Linked DNA regions of Macaca mulatta. The protein of the gene in region 2 interacts with the protein of the main gene of each other region in a pairwise test. Links are inferred from orthologs where the notes say so. Each region holds a gene or a part of one and is shown on either strand. Other genes may lie near its edges. The genes, in order: PNRC2, ESRRG, NR0B1 and DEUP1.

Region 1 (4,170 bases), about 140 Mb from region 2:
CAAATTCATACTAAAATATTCCATTTTTGTAAGATAAAGGCCAATAAAACTTTACATATGCTACAAGTTTATTACAGATATGTACATGGCTCTTTCTCCCCTAGGTACTTAAAATTTTCACATTATCCAACTCCCCAAAGCAAGCTTTGCAGGAATGATGAGGCCAGATCACTATTAGAATAGCTTGTGCAGTGCTGTAATACAAAAATGTATTTTGAAAGCTATTGAGTGACCATTAAATACTGTTTCTATAAAAAATGGTTTTGGTGTATTTGTTGACACTTAATCCACTATATTTAATAAACAGGGCCATTGGGATGTACTATGTCTCATTCTAATGAGCTCCAAATGCCCTTTCCACCCACTGTACAATTCACTAAAATGCAATTATTACAAAAAATTCACATTTTCTTTCAGCAGTGCATCAGGTTGTTAGCATATTACTGGTTTGGGTGTTTCTAATATACTAAACTTTCAGATGTTTACCTAATTCTGAATCCTTGTGTTAGCTTGAAGCTTATAATCTGATTCACCAACTTTCAACAATCTACTCCATGAATGATAAATTACTATCTTCCCCTAACAATAGAAAAAGCTGATTCCTTTACCACTCCCCAAATCTAAACTTGGTTTCCACTTAAAAGTTACTCAGTTGAGAACACTTAATATCAAATACCATTAGTTTAAGTTGCACTGATACTACCATTGTATCACAGTGCACACAAGATCGTCTATTTTTTTTACATTAATTAGCAGTTCTACACAAATAGATTAATTCCTTAGCGAATGTTTCAGACCAATTGACAACTACCCGCGAACATAATTTTAACATTTGTCTTACTTTATACCTGTACTTTAAGTAAGGTTTTAAGTTGAAATGTCATTATTTCCTTATCTGAAGGATTAAAGGAAACAGGGACCCAGTGGCTTGGTGGTTTGGGAAGAACACTTGGTGATGGTGGCTCACTAAATTTGGCACCAGCATAGTTCTGATTAGCTTGAGATTTAAAAAGTAAGCTGGGACCTGATAAGCTAGAATTCCAACTCTGATTATTTGGAAAATTTTTGTTCTTCCCCCCACTTTGCATAGCCTGCCAAGCAGCTGCTGATGAGTTATAACCATGTCCTCTTTCTTTTTTCTTATGAACAATCTTCATCTGGGAATTCTGATCCTTGGTCTTCTGTCTGTTAAGCTGTTGTTGGTTCTTACTAACATTTCTAGATTGAGGGGCTGGAATGTTATACCGCTCTCCACCACCCATCTTCAGCTTCTTTGTCACCTACAAGTGAATGGAAACAAATATTGAGTAAAATTCCATTAAGTTCAAATCTGTAAAAAGCTTCTATGGCTCCAACTTATAACTCCAGATATTTTGAACAAGACTCAGTAATAGGCTATTCAGCTGCTTTAAATTAAAAAAGCAAGCTGTTTAGACTCCAATATATGCACAACCTTTATTATTATACCGTCTCTAAGAAAAATGAGCTTACCCACAAATCAGCATAATCTATTTTAAAATAAAAACAATTGGTTTAGGATGGCTCCATCATAAAATGTTTGCCCATTATGATGATTACCTTTCAGTCTGCTTTTCAGATTGCAGGATCTCCACTACCTGTCCTCTTCCTTGCTGCCAAGCCCAAGATAACAAGTGTTGCTTTCTGACAGATCCTTTCCTTTGTCTCAATACAGAAGTTTTCATGGGCCGATCTGCTGAGTTCAGCCTAGGAGCTGAGGCCAACATCTGAGTCTCCTCAGCACACAAGTTTGAGAGAAGTCCTAGCTAGAAAAGTAAAGATTACTTCATTATTTCAAAAACACGTTGAGAAAGTGATCATTTAGATTTACTACAAAAATCGTTGACTGTAAAGAAGGCTACTTCCTGAACTAAAAGGTAGAAAATTTAAGATGGCTTTGACCTCATAACCACGATCATTTAAAAACTCTTCACCCTTGAGACCCAGTCACTCCTGGGGAATTTTTGGAAATGTCTCGAAGTCCCGCAGTAAGTTTTGTTTTTATCTTTTTCCTGGGAAAGATCTTCAGATTCTCTCACGTATAAAATCAAATAACGAGTGTTAAAATGTTAAGAGTCATCAAAAAATTGGCTTCAGGCGGATTTTCAAAAGAGACCGTGTTTTTAAACTCCCACCAGAATTTTCCAATCTTTCCACACACGTCACATCCATTTTCAGTCTCTTGGAACATGTAGACATCACGCAGTGTTTCCTTTGGTTGTGAACACCCTCGCCTCCTCCCCGTCTTAAAATAAGTTCTCACAAGCCCTAACACTCTAAGCCCATCTTAAATCTATAAAAATGTCTCCCTAGAGGGAACAGCTCAACATTCAAGGTTTGGTTTTAATTTGATGTTCCAAGAAAATAAGTTACCAAATAGTTAAGCCCCCTCCTTTCAAAGGGGTAAGAGAGCCTTCCAAACAGATAAACCACCCTAAATAAATTGCCATTTCCGGACTGTGAGTCATTCACAACTCGAACTCGGAAAACTCGCCGCCTCCGACGCCACACAGGCTTGGCTTCCCAGTGGCCCCATCTCTCCGGAGCCGCAGGGGTCGGGGCGCTGCGACCGCCCGCGCCCGCCCGGATCTCGCCTCCGCTCGCCTCCTTCCCCCAACAATGGGGAGCGCAGCCACCAACATGGCCGCGCCCGCTGCACAGCCGCTACTTACCGACTTCAAGCTCGGAACTACGGCGGCAGTGGCTCCCTCTCGACGTCGAAGCCTCCCTCCCTTTCCAGGGAGAGACGAGGCACGGACCGACAAAGCCCACGAACACCGATGAGCGAGCTGCCGGTCACCCTAGCTTCTACAACCCAACCTCCTCCTTCTGCCTCTACCGACAAAATGGAGTCGGCGGCGACCGCAGAAGCAGGGCCGGGCGGCTCCGCGGCCAATCAAAACACGACAGCGCAGGCCTGGCCAATGAGAAGCGGGCCGCCGCCTGTTGCTGGGGCAGGCCGGGGGCGAAGGCGGGGAGGTGGGGCTGCCGAGGGTTTGAAATCCGCCCGGGGAGGAGGAGCATGCCGGGAGTAACTGCCCGGTCCGCCGGTGTTCACGGCCTTACCACCGCGGCCTCCCCGCGCCCCTGGCCCCCCAAGGCCCCGGCCGCTAGCTCTCGGCTCTTCCTCCCGCTCGGCTCGTGCGCGCGGGCTCGCTGCCCTTGGGACTGCCCTGAGGGAAAAGACTGACCGGCGGGGGACGTTTGGCTCTCGAATTAGGGCCACTGAGTCGCGTAGCCTGTATTGACAGATGGAGGATACTCCAGAAAGCCGCTTGCCAGGGCCCAGCCCCCGCCCGCCTCGGGCCTCGACTTCTGGGTCGCCTCTCTCCCACATTCACAACTCCGCATCCGAAGTCGGCGCGTCCCTGCGGTTCCCTCCGGTGCCCCCCACCCTCCAGCCCCGCAGTTACTCAAAAGTTGCCTCCGTGTGAAGGCGGTTCAGACACACGCGGGCAAGTCAGTCACTTCCTGCTTGGTGGCCCCATTGGCCCTTAAGTTCAGTTAGAGCCCTTAACGCGCCGTGTTACAGTTTCCTGTGGCAGCAGCTCTCCCCACCCACACACCCTCGAGGGCCACAACCGGTTAGGTTTTGTTTCTCTGACCGCAGCGCCTTCGCGCGTGGTAAGTGCACAGTAAGTTTGCTGAGAGAATGAGGGCTGCTCCCTTCCCCTTTTTGCCCCACTTGTAAGTGAAAAAAAGGAAAGAAAGAGAATATTGTTTAGTTGATTATGCCAGCCAGATGCAGGTAAGGGGAAAATGGCAATTTCTTTGGAGTACGTGTGTGAGCAACCCAGTGTGAATCTTTTAAAAGAGAACACTAATTTCAATGAGCGTGAATAATTCTGGGATAAACGGTACAAAATCAAGTCTCATTACATTCCCAGTTTGTTCGTGTATACACATGGATACATACATACGTAAGTTTACATTAAATAATTTGTATTTACCAACTTCTTATAAATCTCATGTAATTTGTCGTTTATTTTTGAAACGGAGTCTCGCACTGTCGCCCAGGCTGGAGTGCAGTGGCACAATCTCGGCTCACTGCAACCTGCGCCTCCTGGGCTCAAGCGATTCTCCTGCCTCAGCCTCCTGAGTAGCAGGGATTACAGGCGCCCGCCAACACACCCTGCTAATTTTTGTATTTTT
Region 2 (4,306 bases):
CTCGCCTTGTCTGTTTTGGAGTGTTTCAGTTGCCTTTCCTTCTTCCAACAGCTGTGACAACTGTTAAAACAGTCAGTAAAATTAAGTCCGCTCTATAATCCTGTAGTCAATGTTACATTTTAATCAGAGGTTGAAAGGGATTCATGTGATGAGCACACTCATTTAGAATGATTAGACTGACACATATGTCAAAATGAGCAGATATATTATTTTCATCTATTTATGCTATCAGCTATTACTGCTATTAAATGTGAAACAAGCTTTCAAGTATTATGTTCTTTAATGTGCTGGCACATTTCCTAAAATAAAAAAATACATAGTTAGAGGTTAACATTTTAAGCTCTCTTAATGGTGGTCAATAAATTGTATGAATCTTTTTAACCACCTCCAAAGCAGAAACTGTCCAATATTTTCCTCTAAAACTGTGTAACTCTGGTTTCATTTCTGTGTATACACACACGTGATGGGGTTTAACCCAGTACAATTACTATGAATATTAATAGCATGTATAAATTCTGTGGTTTATTAATTGAGACAGAGAGGCAGATGCGTTGCTTAGCGTTAGATCTTTCTGTCTGTCCAGTGAACCACGTAACCATCAGAACTGCAGGCAGACAATAAATCTGTATTTTTTAAAGATGACTTTTAATTGAGCCCAAAAGAAAGCTAGTTTGAATCTTGCGCCAAAGCCAAAAGGACATGTGCCTTGATTTCATTTAAATGCATCTGCTTTAAGAGGCTTATCTAAACGAATTATTCAAATTAGCTATAAGAAGTTAAATTCAAGGAAACTACTTCAAAAAGAAGGCTCTGGGGGATTTTAAAAGTTTGTTTTCTTTATTTATTTACAAGACAAAGTTCAGAATCTGGGCGTGCTTGGATAAGACATTCTTCCTGACACGAGGACATCTTAAACTCTCCAATTCTACAGCCCGAAGTACACTAACCTTCAAACTACACTTGAATGGGCAGTCCTACCTTTGTTTATTTTTCATTTTTATTTTTACACATCTTAAAGTTGTTTCTTCCCTTGAGTGTTTCAAACTGATGCAAGCACAGCCTTATAATCTTTCAGTTCCTCCTAAATCCATCTCTTGGCTAATATTCCCTGTGTGAGCGTGGACGTGGGTGGATGTGCATGTGTGAGCGTGCATATACACACACACTCACACTCACGCTCAAACATACAGGAGCAGCCACTGAGACTGCAAGTCACTTTTCATCTCTTAATTACAAAGCAATGCAATATGCAGTCACTAAGGACAGCTAGTGGACATCTACCTATAATGCACTACCTCATCTTCTAGAGTTTGATATTTTCTTCACAATCTATAGAGAAAAATGTTTGCCAAGGGCACTCTTTTCAGAATTATAACAGTTGGTATTACTGTAATGTGAAAGCAAAGCAATATAACTGACTCAACAGAAAGGGAGATAAACCAGTGACAGCTCTGGTGATATACTAATATTTTATCTTAACAGTAGGTTGAAATTAAGTTTATGACCTACTCATTTACACAAAAATGCCTAATTTACTTCTCGTACCCCCTACGCACTCCCCTCCTTTAGTAATCTAAATATATATTTCCATGTGCATAAAGATATTCATAAATACTAATTAAACTGCATGTAAGAACGAAAGTACTTTTCTATATTTTCTGGACACAATAAATGAGACAAATCCACACTCTGAACAGAGTTTATTTAAGAGGAAAATTTTTAAGTCACTACTGTTTCTTCTTTAGTTTTTTTTCCCCCCCTTAAATATTTATAATGTGTGAAAATCTCATGTTACCTAATGGACTGATTTGTCAGTTAAGTGCTGACTTAACGCTAACCATGCAAATAACATTATTCTAGCTCAGAATTGCATAGGGCTAGTTTTTAAATTGTTCTCTGAAGGAGAATTAGTAAATGTGCAATTTTGCCTCTAACTCTGCGCGGTAAGAAATGACAAGGAGCTGAAAATATCTGTCAAACTGCAAATACATAAGAGGCACTCAATAGTATAAATCATTTTGAATATTGTATTTTAAAACATCTTTCCTTGGGAAAATGGGTCCTAGTAAAAGATGCATTTTAACAGTTCACTAAGCATTTGTGCCAAGTGCCTATTCTTAGCACCTGAATAAGAAGTGACTGTCACACAGCTGTTTTACTGACAGTCACTGAGCTTTGCCTCAAAGGTAACATTGTAGTCAGAGAACAATTCTCGACTTACTGAATTAGGAGATCACCCTCAACACAAAAGACACAGACAGACACAAACAAGCACTCGTGCACACAAAATACCCAGGGCATTACCTGAATCAGTGTGTAAAGATACAGTCTGTCCGCCCCCACCCCCGCACCCCCACGACGAGTTTAAAAAGGAAAGAAAAAAGGTACCTACTCTTCCTCGTAGTGCAGGGGAAAAGATTCAGGAAGGCAAAGTTCTACCGAATCCATGTGCGACCGGCAACCATTATTTGTGCACCCCAGCTATAAATCAAAGTTTCCTTGACAGAGCACAGTGCAATTAACACAAATGTTCTCCTAGTGACAAGCCTATAGGCACAGCCAGTTGGGACCAAAGCTCTCACACTCTCCTAATCAAGGACTTAAAGCCCCGATTGGAGCTTATTAATATGAAGTAGGGCTTTACATATGCAGTCCCACCGGCCCAGCCGCGCAGCCGATTGGGGGGCCTCTGCCCAATCAGGAGGGAGGCGACGGGAGGCTGCACGGAGCGAGAGGAGCCAGGCAGGTAGGCAGGGTGCAGAGAGCCGAAGGGGGCTGGAAACTGAGAGTGGGCAGAGAAAAAGGGAGCGGAGAAGGGAGCGGTTGAAACGCTCCCAATACACACTCTCGGGTTTGATTTTTTTTTTTCCTCCCTTCTCTCTCTCTCTCTCTTTTTTTTTTCTTCTGGGAAGCTACAAAAGAAACATAACTAACTTAACTCTCTAAGCACTGGAGGGATTTGCCTTTGATTTCTAACCTAAGATCTCTTTTGCCTTGAAAAGGAGAACTCACGCAGACTCTCAGTTAATTTGGGAAAGGATTCTGCGGAAGGTAGAGAATTAAGTTTGTCCTGCCGTTGTCTGTGTTTTGATTACACCGGGGGCTGCTGTTTATTTGGTGCTGTACTTTCTCATGTATTCCTAATCATGTCTTTTCCTGTTTTCCTGATGTATGCTGGGCATTAAAAATAATAATAATAAAGACATTCTTCTAAATTGTTTGAGCATGTGAACTGGGATCGTCATCTCTGAGGTGGAATGCAGTTTTACACAACTACAGAAGAGGAAACAGTGACAATACAATTTGAGAGAATGCCTAAGTAAATTATATGTGTAAACCTTTCTATACCTGCGACTGTCTCTTTACGTGTAGATACAACGCATAGCTTTTCAAAACAAAGGTAAACAACCGCAGGACAAATTGGCTTCTTCAGTTTTAGGGGTGGGGAGACTGAGGGTTGTGGGGGTAAATAGCGAATTAAATCTCTCTCAATGCATTTTGACAAAATAAAGAGAGCATTTTTTTTTTTTTTTTTTTGTAGGGAGAGCATTACTAAACAGTGCACTAAAAGTATTCTTAATTATTTGTATATATTTCAGTACAAGCTTCCAAACTAGGAGGCATATAATTATATATATGATTTTACCCAAAACATCCTGCTTTCAAATAAAACACCGTGTACATATTTGTTTCTATACATAAGGCACCCTATATGCTTTAAAAAAATAAACCCAGAAACATTTTATAAACCATCACACAGTCTGGTCACTATAAGAACTAGTTTCAAACAGATAATAATTTACAAAACTAAGAATTCTCAATCAAAAGTGTTCAAAAAATAAATAAATAAAAGGAGGATATAAGAGGACAAGTGTGTTTTTTCCTCCTTTAATTGTGTATACCGTGTCTTTAATTTCCATATAACAAAGAGTTTGCTTAGGTCCTATTTTAATCTACAGGATTTTTTTATACTAGCAAATGTACATTGGAATAGATACCAGCTATTTATGGCGAAGAGATAACTGCTACCTTATGGAGAGTGAAAAACCCACAATTTTGATATAATTCAGCTCTACTGCTTATCAACCTTTTATGTCTTAAGTCCTACATGATAGAAATAGGATAATCTTTGAGATCAAAATAAATTAGTTCAGATATTCATCGTGTGTTAAATTCACTAAATTAGGACTCAACTCCCTCAACCCTCTCAAATTTTCTAGGTCTTAAAAAAAACAAAACACTAAAATAGAGCAGCCACATTAAAATTCAGAATATAAAAATGACAGACATGATTTGGTCCCCCCAC
Region 3 (4,255 bases), on a different chromosome or scaffold from region 2:
AAGGAAGGAAGGAAGGAAGGAAGGAAAAAAGCAAAAACAGAAAGAGGGAGGATGGGAGGGAGGGAAAACGTAAAAATGATTCTACACCAGCTGGTATATACCAATACCCTTCCCTGCCCCATGTCTTCACAGCTGTGTGGCAAGTGAAGACCAATGGATCCAGGCTTCCTGATGCTTGTATTTATCATGATTCACTTAGGAAGGGTGGGGAAAGAAATGCTAATTACACACTTACCAATGGAATACTTTTACAAGGATCAAAATTTCTCGCTGCAGCCATGAAAAAGAATGAGAGCTGGCGGCCATTATCCTTAGCGAAATAACGCGGAAACAGAAAACCAAATTATCACATGTTCTCACTTGTAAGTGGGAGCTAAATAAAGAGATCACATGGACACTAGGAGGGGAACAACAGACACTGGAACCTACTTGAAGGTGGAGGGTGGGAAGAGGGAGAGAATGAGAAAAAATACCTATTGAATACTATATTACCTGGGTGACGAAATAATCTGTACACCAAACCCCCGCGACAAGCAATTGACTTATATAACAACCCTGACATATACTCCTGAACCTAAAAGTTAAAAGAAAAAAAAAACAAACCATATACTAAAATGAAAACGATTCTCACTGTAACAATATTATCCCCTCGTGATTATTATATTCCTAAGTTTTAGGCACTTTTACATCCTGCTCGCTGCCCCCAGCTCTCTTAACACAGCATCCAGGACATAGTGGGCGCTTATAAATACTGATGGAATTAAACTGAGCGCTTATGCTAGCATATTTAGACCAGTGCTTTTCAAACGTCAAGGTGCATGTGAATCCCTGGGGACACCGTTAAAATGCAGATTCAGAGTTAGAAAGTCTGGTTGGAGCCTGACATTGGGCATTTCCACCGAGTTCCCATATGATGTTTGTCTATGTTCTGTATTTTTCAAGGTCTCAGAAAATGAGACCTCCCTATCCATATACAAATATGAGTCTCACAAACTGTGAAAATTTAATGAAAGTTTACAAAGAGCATAGAAGTAGATGTTTCCTCTTTTCCCCTACCCTCCCAATAAAGGGAACAAATTAGATGCGAGGGTTCAATGGAAAGAGTTGCAACAGCATCCAGGCGCTCGCTCTCCTCCGGTCTTCCTGAGAGACAGGGAAAGGGGTAATGAGAAGAAGGAGGGAAGTGTCCAGGAGCTCCCACGCTGCTGTTCCTCTTCCATTTTCAGCTTTTAAAGAACACCCGCCCCTTCGAACCACCGAGGTCATGGGCGAATACACCGGAGCGCAGCACCGCGCCCCCCCTGCCCGCCTCCGCGCCCTTGCCCAGACCGAGGCGGCCGACGCGCCTGCGTGCGCGCTAGGTATAAATAGGTCCCAGGAGGCAGCCACTGGGCAGAACCGGGCTGCAGGAGCCGCGGGCCATGGCGGGCGAGAACCACCAGTGGCAGGGCAGCATCCTCTACAACATGCTTATGAGCGCGAAGCAAACGCGCGCGGCTCCTGAGGCTCCAGAGACGCGGCTGGTGGATCAGTGCTGGGGCTGTTCGTGCGGCGATGAGCCCGGGGTGGGCAGAGAGGGGCTGCTGGGCGGGCGGAACGTGTCGCTCCTGTACCGCTGCTGCTTTTGCGGTAAAGACCACCCACGGCAGGGCAGCATCCTCTACAGCATGCTCACGAGCGCAAAGCAAACGTACGCGGCACCGAAGGCGCCCGAGGCGACGCTGGGTCCGTGCTGGGGCTGTTCGTGCGGCTCTGATCCCGGGGTGGGCAGAGCGGGGCTTCCGGGTGGGCGGCCCGTGGCACTCCTGTACCGCTGCTGCTTTTGTGGTGAAGACCACCCGCGGCAGGGCAGCATCCTCTACAGCTTGCTCACTAGCGCAAAGCAAACGCACGTGGCTCCGGCAGCGCCCGAGGCACGGCCAGTGGGCGCGTGGTGGGACCGCTCCTACTTCGCGCAGAGGCCAGGGGGTAGAGAGGCGCTACCAGGCGGGCGGGCCATGGGGCTTCTGTACCGCTGCTGCTTTTGCGGTGAAGACCACCCGCAGCAGGGCAGCACCCTCTACTGCATGCCCACGAGCACAAATCAAGTGCAGGCGGCTCCGGGGGAGCGGCCGAGGGCCCCCTGGTGGGACACCTCCTCTGGTGCGCTGCGGCCAGTGGCGCTCAAGAGTCCACAGGTGGTCTGCGAGGCAGCCTCAGCTGGCCTGTTGAAGACGCTGCGCTTTGTCAAGTACTTGCCCTGCTTCCAGGTGCTGCCCCTGGACCAGCAGCTGGTGCTGGTGCGCAACTGCTGGGCGTCCCTGCTCATGCTTGAGCTGGCCCAGGACCGCTTGCAGTTCGAGACTGTAGAAGTCTCGGAGCCCAGCATGCTGCAGAAGATCCTCACCACCAGGCGGCGGGAGACCGGGGGCGACGAGCCACTGCCCGTGTCCACGCTGCAGCCCCATTTGGCACCGCCGGCGGAGGCCAGGAAGGTGCCCTCCGCCTCCCAGGTCCAAGCCATCAAGTGCTTTCTTTCCAAGTGCTGGAGTCTGAACATCAGTACCAAGGAGTACGCCTACCTCAAGGGGACCGTGCTCTTTAACCCGGGTAAGGGTACTGGCCTTGGGCGCCGGCTTTTCCCAGCTCACAAAAGCATCAGGCAGTGCCTATCTAGGGGCGCGGGCAGTAAGGAGTTTTCAGTGATCAGGAGAGTGTCGGGACAAAGGTGAAGAAATCATGACTAACTCAGCAGAGTTGGGGTGGGGGGCTCCAGGAACCACTTCTCCTGAGTGGGCTGCTGTCAGAAACTCAGCCAAGAGGAGGGGAGTTGTTTGTTTAGGTTTGTACTTAGCTCTTTACACGTTTCTTACTACAGAAAAGTTTGTGCCTTCATGGGAAATGGTTATTCTTTCTTTAGCTTTCTTTGAAGTCCAGAGCATATCTTTTTCTAAAAGTTTTTGCTCACTGAAGATTCTGCGACATCGATTTCTGAAACTCCATTCTGAAATTTACTAGAACCTTTTTTTGGGGGGAGGAGATCTATTAGGGCTAGCAAAAAAGGAAACATTTGTTAAAGGGTCCCATAGAGAGACTATTCCCTAGGGACACTGTCAGACAGTACACTGGATGTAGTGTTTCATAGGCCTGCCTCTGAATGGTTATTTGTATGGTCCTAAGCATCTGGACTATCCCTTCCTCCAAATCTCTGTGAAGAATATCAGGTTGGCAAAGGGATAAGAAAAAAAAAAAAAGTCACTTTAGGGACTGAGAGCAGGAACACTGTATTTTAGAATTCAAAGAGACTTTAGAGACCTCCTAATCAACCCCCTTTGCTCTGTAACCTTCCCCCACCGCATTTTACTGTGTAGGTGGATGTATCCCAAGGTCCCAAGTGACCTTACTCCAAAGTAAATGGCTGGTGTGTTGTGGCACCTGAGGGTCCTATCTTCTGGGCCCTGTGGGATGTCGGCTGCACCAAACTTTCAGGTTGTCTGTTGGGTGCAGGACACACTGTCCCACAGGGTGCAACCAAATCACTGGGGGAACATCTCCCTGGACAGCCAGGCACCTTGTCTTGGGTGTTTCTCTCTACTAGAATCATCTTCAACCAGCGTCCTTTTGAAATGATTGAAGTGGAAAAAAATTTTCCAGGCAACTTGAGTTGGGATAGTTTCCATAATGCTCCTTTTGTATCTTTTCCCTGGTGCTGGAATCTCTGATTATGTCCTGGCCCCCTGCCTAGCATTTTTGAGAGTGCATAATATATATAAATATATTTAATATATATATTTAATATATTTAAATTTATTATATGGGATATACAAAAGACAAACAGCAAAGAGAGGCCACAGTCTCAATAGGCGTTACCTTTCTCCCCAATATAGGTACATTTGAGTTTCAAACACACTCAGCTTAGCTGGTTAAACTCATACTGAGAAAGGATTAGGAAAAGTCAATCAAGAACAAGGAAGAAGTGTGCGTGTGTGTGTGTCTGTGTGTGTGTGTGTGTGTTAAAAGTATATAAAACAGGGTCAAGGGAAAGAGGGAAACTATTGATACTGAAACTAATGGAATGTAAATTTCTGGAAGGTGAGCCCCTTTCACCTTTATATCCCAACAGGACAAGGAACGTAGTGGATGATTAATAATACTAGCTGAAGGAATAAGAAGACTGTTTTCCAAAGTATCTTGAGAATCATCTGTGACCCTTATTATGAATGCAGATTTGCAGACACTGGGCTAGAGCTACTGAATCAGAATCTATAAGGCAGGA
Region 4 (2,864 bases), on a different chromosome or scaffold from region 2:
TGCTTCAAGTCCATTGAATTTTACATTCCTTCATTGCATTAAAAACAGAGGTGATTACAAAGAAAAATGTAGCAACAGTAATGCTTCATATTTCCTTTATCTTGTTCGTGTCCGTGAAGTAATTAGTACTAACAAAAAAGCGTTAATTTTTGGCACATATAGTTTAGGTTTGTAAATTGCACATTCCATGTACCTTCATTGTGTTGAAACAGACAGACATTATAAAGGTGAATGTAAAAACAGTAAAGCTATAGCTTTTTTTTTTTTTTTTCAAAAAATTGTAGAATTTTAGAGTGTTTACATAACTGGAAATACTTAAATATTTTTATTTATAAAATCCTTGAGTTTTCAAAACCAGTACAACTGAGCTGCCTTTGAGTCGTTTGTATCTGGAATATAGCACTTCCCTTTCCCTTATTTTGTGTAGTTGCTGAGGAAATGGGTTTTCAGTATACATGATTCAAGTGAGGAAAAAACTGCATATTTAATTCCAACATATTCCTTAGACTGGAAAAAAAAATCTCTTTTGGAATAGTCATGTTTATTTTATAGTAACTCTACAGCAGGACAATTTAGCATGTTATGCAGAAATGCAAACAGCTTTATTGAACAAAATACTTACTATTTTCTAGCTGCCTTACCAAAATTATTTACTCAAGGAAACAGAACAGAATTTCTTGATTTCATTAATCAGCTTTGTAAATATTTTGCCAGAGCTTTTTTTCTTGGTGGGGGGGAAGCAAATAAAAAAGTTTAAAAGCTCATATGTGTCTATTTTGTTTTAGCTTGGAGTATTTATTAAGAGTAAATTCTGTGTGTCTTTGCAGTTCATCAATATGTGTATTTAGAAGTTTTTCAAGTTCTTTTGCTCGTTTCTCTTCTTCCAGAAGGAAATGCTGTGCAGCCAAAGATGCTGGGAAAGACATATCTGGGGGAGACTAAAGAGAGAAAGAAAGAAAAGTGAATGAGGAATACAGAGCTTTTAAACATCTTCACATTTCCAGGCATGCTTCATCCCTGACATACTGTCAAACACTGCAGCTCTTAATTAAAGAACACATCTTGGGCTGAATTCCTACTACTAGTGTAATTCAGTTACCAGTAATGAAATCTTCAAGGAACTAAGTAAGACATCACAGCACCATTACATTAAAAAGCTCTAGAAATGAGTATTAGATTGTCCAACCGCAAATGCAGGGACAATGCACTCACCATGGAACCTGCCTAAAACATGCTGCAATCATTTGCAAAGCCAGTGATTTTCATTTGAAAATAGGCAACTCAAAAAGTGAAAGTAAAGATTATAGTGGAATTGCACCAGAAGGTTTATATAGAAAATAAGGATTGGCTTTGACAGGGCGAATCAATGCTTGGAGTTAGCCAGGTGAGAAGGCTGGCTGCATGATGTGTCTTGGGGTGGAGGTGGCTCCCTAGTAGGGAGGGCTGTGATGCTGGCATGTATCTTGTTTGTCTCATCATAGAGAAGAAAGTATCAGGGATGAGTGCCCCAATTCCAGCCTTCATGGTGACATGAAAATGCTATTTAACTGTTTGTGACCTGTTTAGTGCTTAGTTACAAAAAGTAAAAATAAAAATCTGTAGCTAAGGAATAAAGGACAACATCAGATAATTTTACAATTCTTCATTTTAAAAAGCCACATACAAAAATTAAGTAATTTTTTTTTTAGTTGGGGAAATTTGTACTTTAATTTTCCAGTTCTGTGGTTACTATATTCTTCTTTGACTTTCATTTTGGTAGGAAAAATGGGACTTTATGTAGTGTTTGGGGAGTTGACAATCTGTATACATGTGAACCTTGTTATAGGTGGATTTTGTTTACCAATCTGGCCCCTGCCAAAACTAGGGATCATGCAAATGATGGAGTACTGCACACTTTTCCAACTAGTAGCCCCCAACTGTAGCTGCTGTGTCAGGGATAGTATCTCTGCTAGAGAAGACTGTCACAGCCTGAGGTAGATGGTATGCTACTATTGATCTGGCAAATGGTTTCTTTTTAATATCAGCAAATGCATTCTTTTTAATATCTAATAAAAAGGAGGATAGGAAGCAGTTAGCATTCACATGGGGTGGCCAACAGTATTTATCCATGGTTTTGCCCCAATGTTATATTAATGAAGCTGTCACAATAAATTCTGAAGGGGCCTAGCCCATCTGGACATTCCAAAGACTATCACATGGAACATCATATATTAACACTAACATCATGTTAATGAGACTTGATGAGCAAGAAGTAGCAAGTATATTAAAGGGATGGAAAGATGCAAGTACGCCAGAGGGTGAAAGATAAACCCTGTAAAAGATTGGGGCTTGTCACGTTGTTTTTAGGTGTCTGCTGCTATGGGGCATGTCAGAACATCCTAGGTAAAGCAAAAATTAATGCACCTTGAAAATGTTCCACCCTTGGATCAAATAATTGAATAATCAGATTCATTTATTGGGCAACACAGAAAACAATTTTTTTTGAGCAAGCCCAGAACTCTAGAAAGAAAGAGCTGTGTAGTAGGTTCAGGATAGGGTACAAGCAGTCCTGCTACTTTGGTCAAATGACTTGGTAGATCCCATACTGGAAGAATCTCTGGTAGAGGAAAATGCGTTGTGGAGCCTCTGGAAAGTTTCAGTGGGAAAGCTGTATCACAGACCCTTAAGATTTTGAAACAAGACTATGCCATCTGTAGCCGAAACCTATATACTATTTGCAAGACAATTCTCGTCATGCTGTTGAGTCCTGGTTGAGACAGAGCATCCAGCAAGTAGGATGATTTAATCCATCCTCTGTCTTTGGCTACCTCAGTGGGAATTATGCATCATACCAATACCATGGTTTCCCCTTTCACTAAGGGTAA

Evidence for each region.
Region 1: the proteins of ESRRG (region 2) and PNRC2 interact in binary tests that used the Homo sapiens proteins (3 or more experiments, as listed by UniProt). The link is inferred for Macaca mulatta from reciprocal best matches to the Homo sapiens genes ESRRG and PNRC2.
Region 3: the proteins of ESRRG (region 2) and NR0B1 interact in binary tests that used the Homo sapiens proteins (3 or more experiments, as listed by UniProt). The link is inferred for Macaca mulatta from reciprocal best matches to the Homo sapiens genes ESRRG and NR0B1.
Region 4: the proteins of ESRRG (region 2) and DEUP1 interact in binary tests that used the Homo sapiens proteins (3 or more experiments, as listed by UniProt). The two-hybrid records come from large-scale screens. The link is inferred for Macaca mulatta from reciprocal best matches to the Homo sapiens genes ESRRG and DEUP1.

What each region holds. Positions count from the first base shown.
Region 1 is NC_133406.1:217,017,845-217,022,014, forward strand, and holds the start of PNRC2 (proline-rich nuclear receptor coactivator 2), read right to left. Parts: upstream 2,862-4,170; 5' UTR 2,691-2,861; intron 1,785-2,690; 5' UTR 1,579-1,784; intron 1,281-1,578; 5' UTR 1,263-1,280; coding exon 843-1,262; 3' UTR 1-842. UniProt on the Homo sapiens protein: Involved in nonsense-mediated mRNA decay (NMD) by acting as a bridge between the mRNA decapping complex and the NMD machinery. May act by targeting the NMD machinery to the P-body and recruiting the decapping machinery to aberrant mRNAs.
Region 2 is NC_133406.1:74,447,656-74,451,961, forward strand, and holds the start of ESRRG (estrogen-related receptor gamma), read right to left. Parts: upstream 2,861-4,306; 5' UTR 2,449-2,860; coding exon 2,393-2,448; intron 1-2,392. UniProt on the Homo sapiens protein: Orphan receptor that acts as a transcription activator in the absence of bound ligand. Binds specifically to an estrogen response element and activates reporter genes controlled by estrogen response elements.
Region 3 is NC_133426.1:30,164,142-30,168,396, reverse strand, and holds the start of NR0B1 (nuclear receptor subfamily 0 group B member 1), read left to right. Parts: upstream 1-1,411; 5' UTR 1,412-1,421; coding exon 1,422-2,589; intron 2,590-4,255. UniProt on the Homo sapiens protein: Nuclear receptor that lacks a DNA-binding domain and acts as a corepressor that inhibits the transcriptional activity of other nuclear receptors through heterodimeric interactions.
Region 4 is NC_133419.1:94,265,794-94,268,657, reverse strand, and holds the end of DEUP1 (deuterosome assembly protein 1), read right to left. Parts: intron 939-2,864; coding exon 762-938; 3' UTR 525-761; downstream 1-524. UniProt on the Homo sapiens protein: Key structural component of the deuterosome, a structure that promotes de novo centriole amplification in multiciliated cells.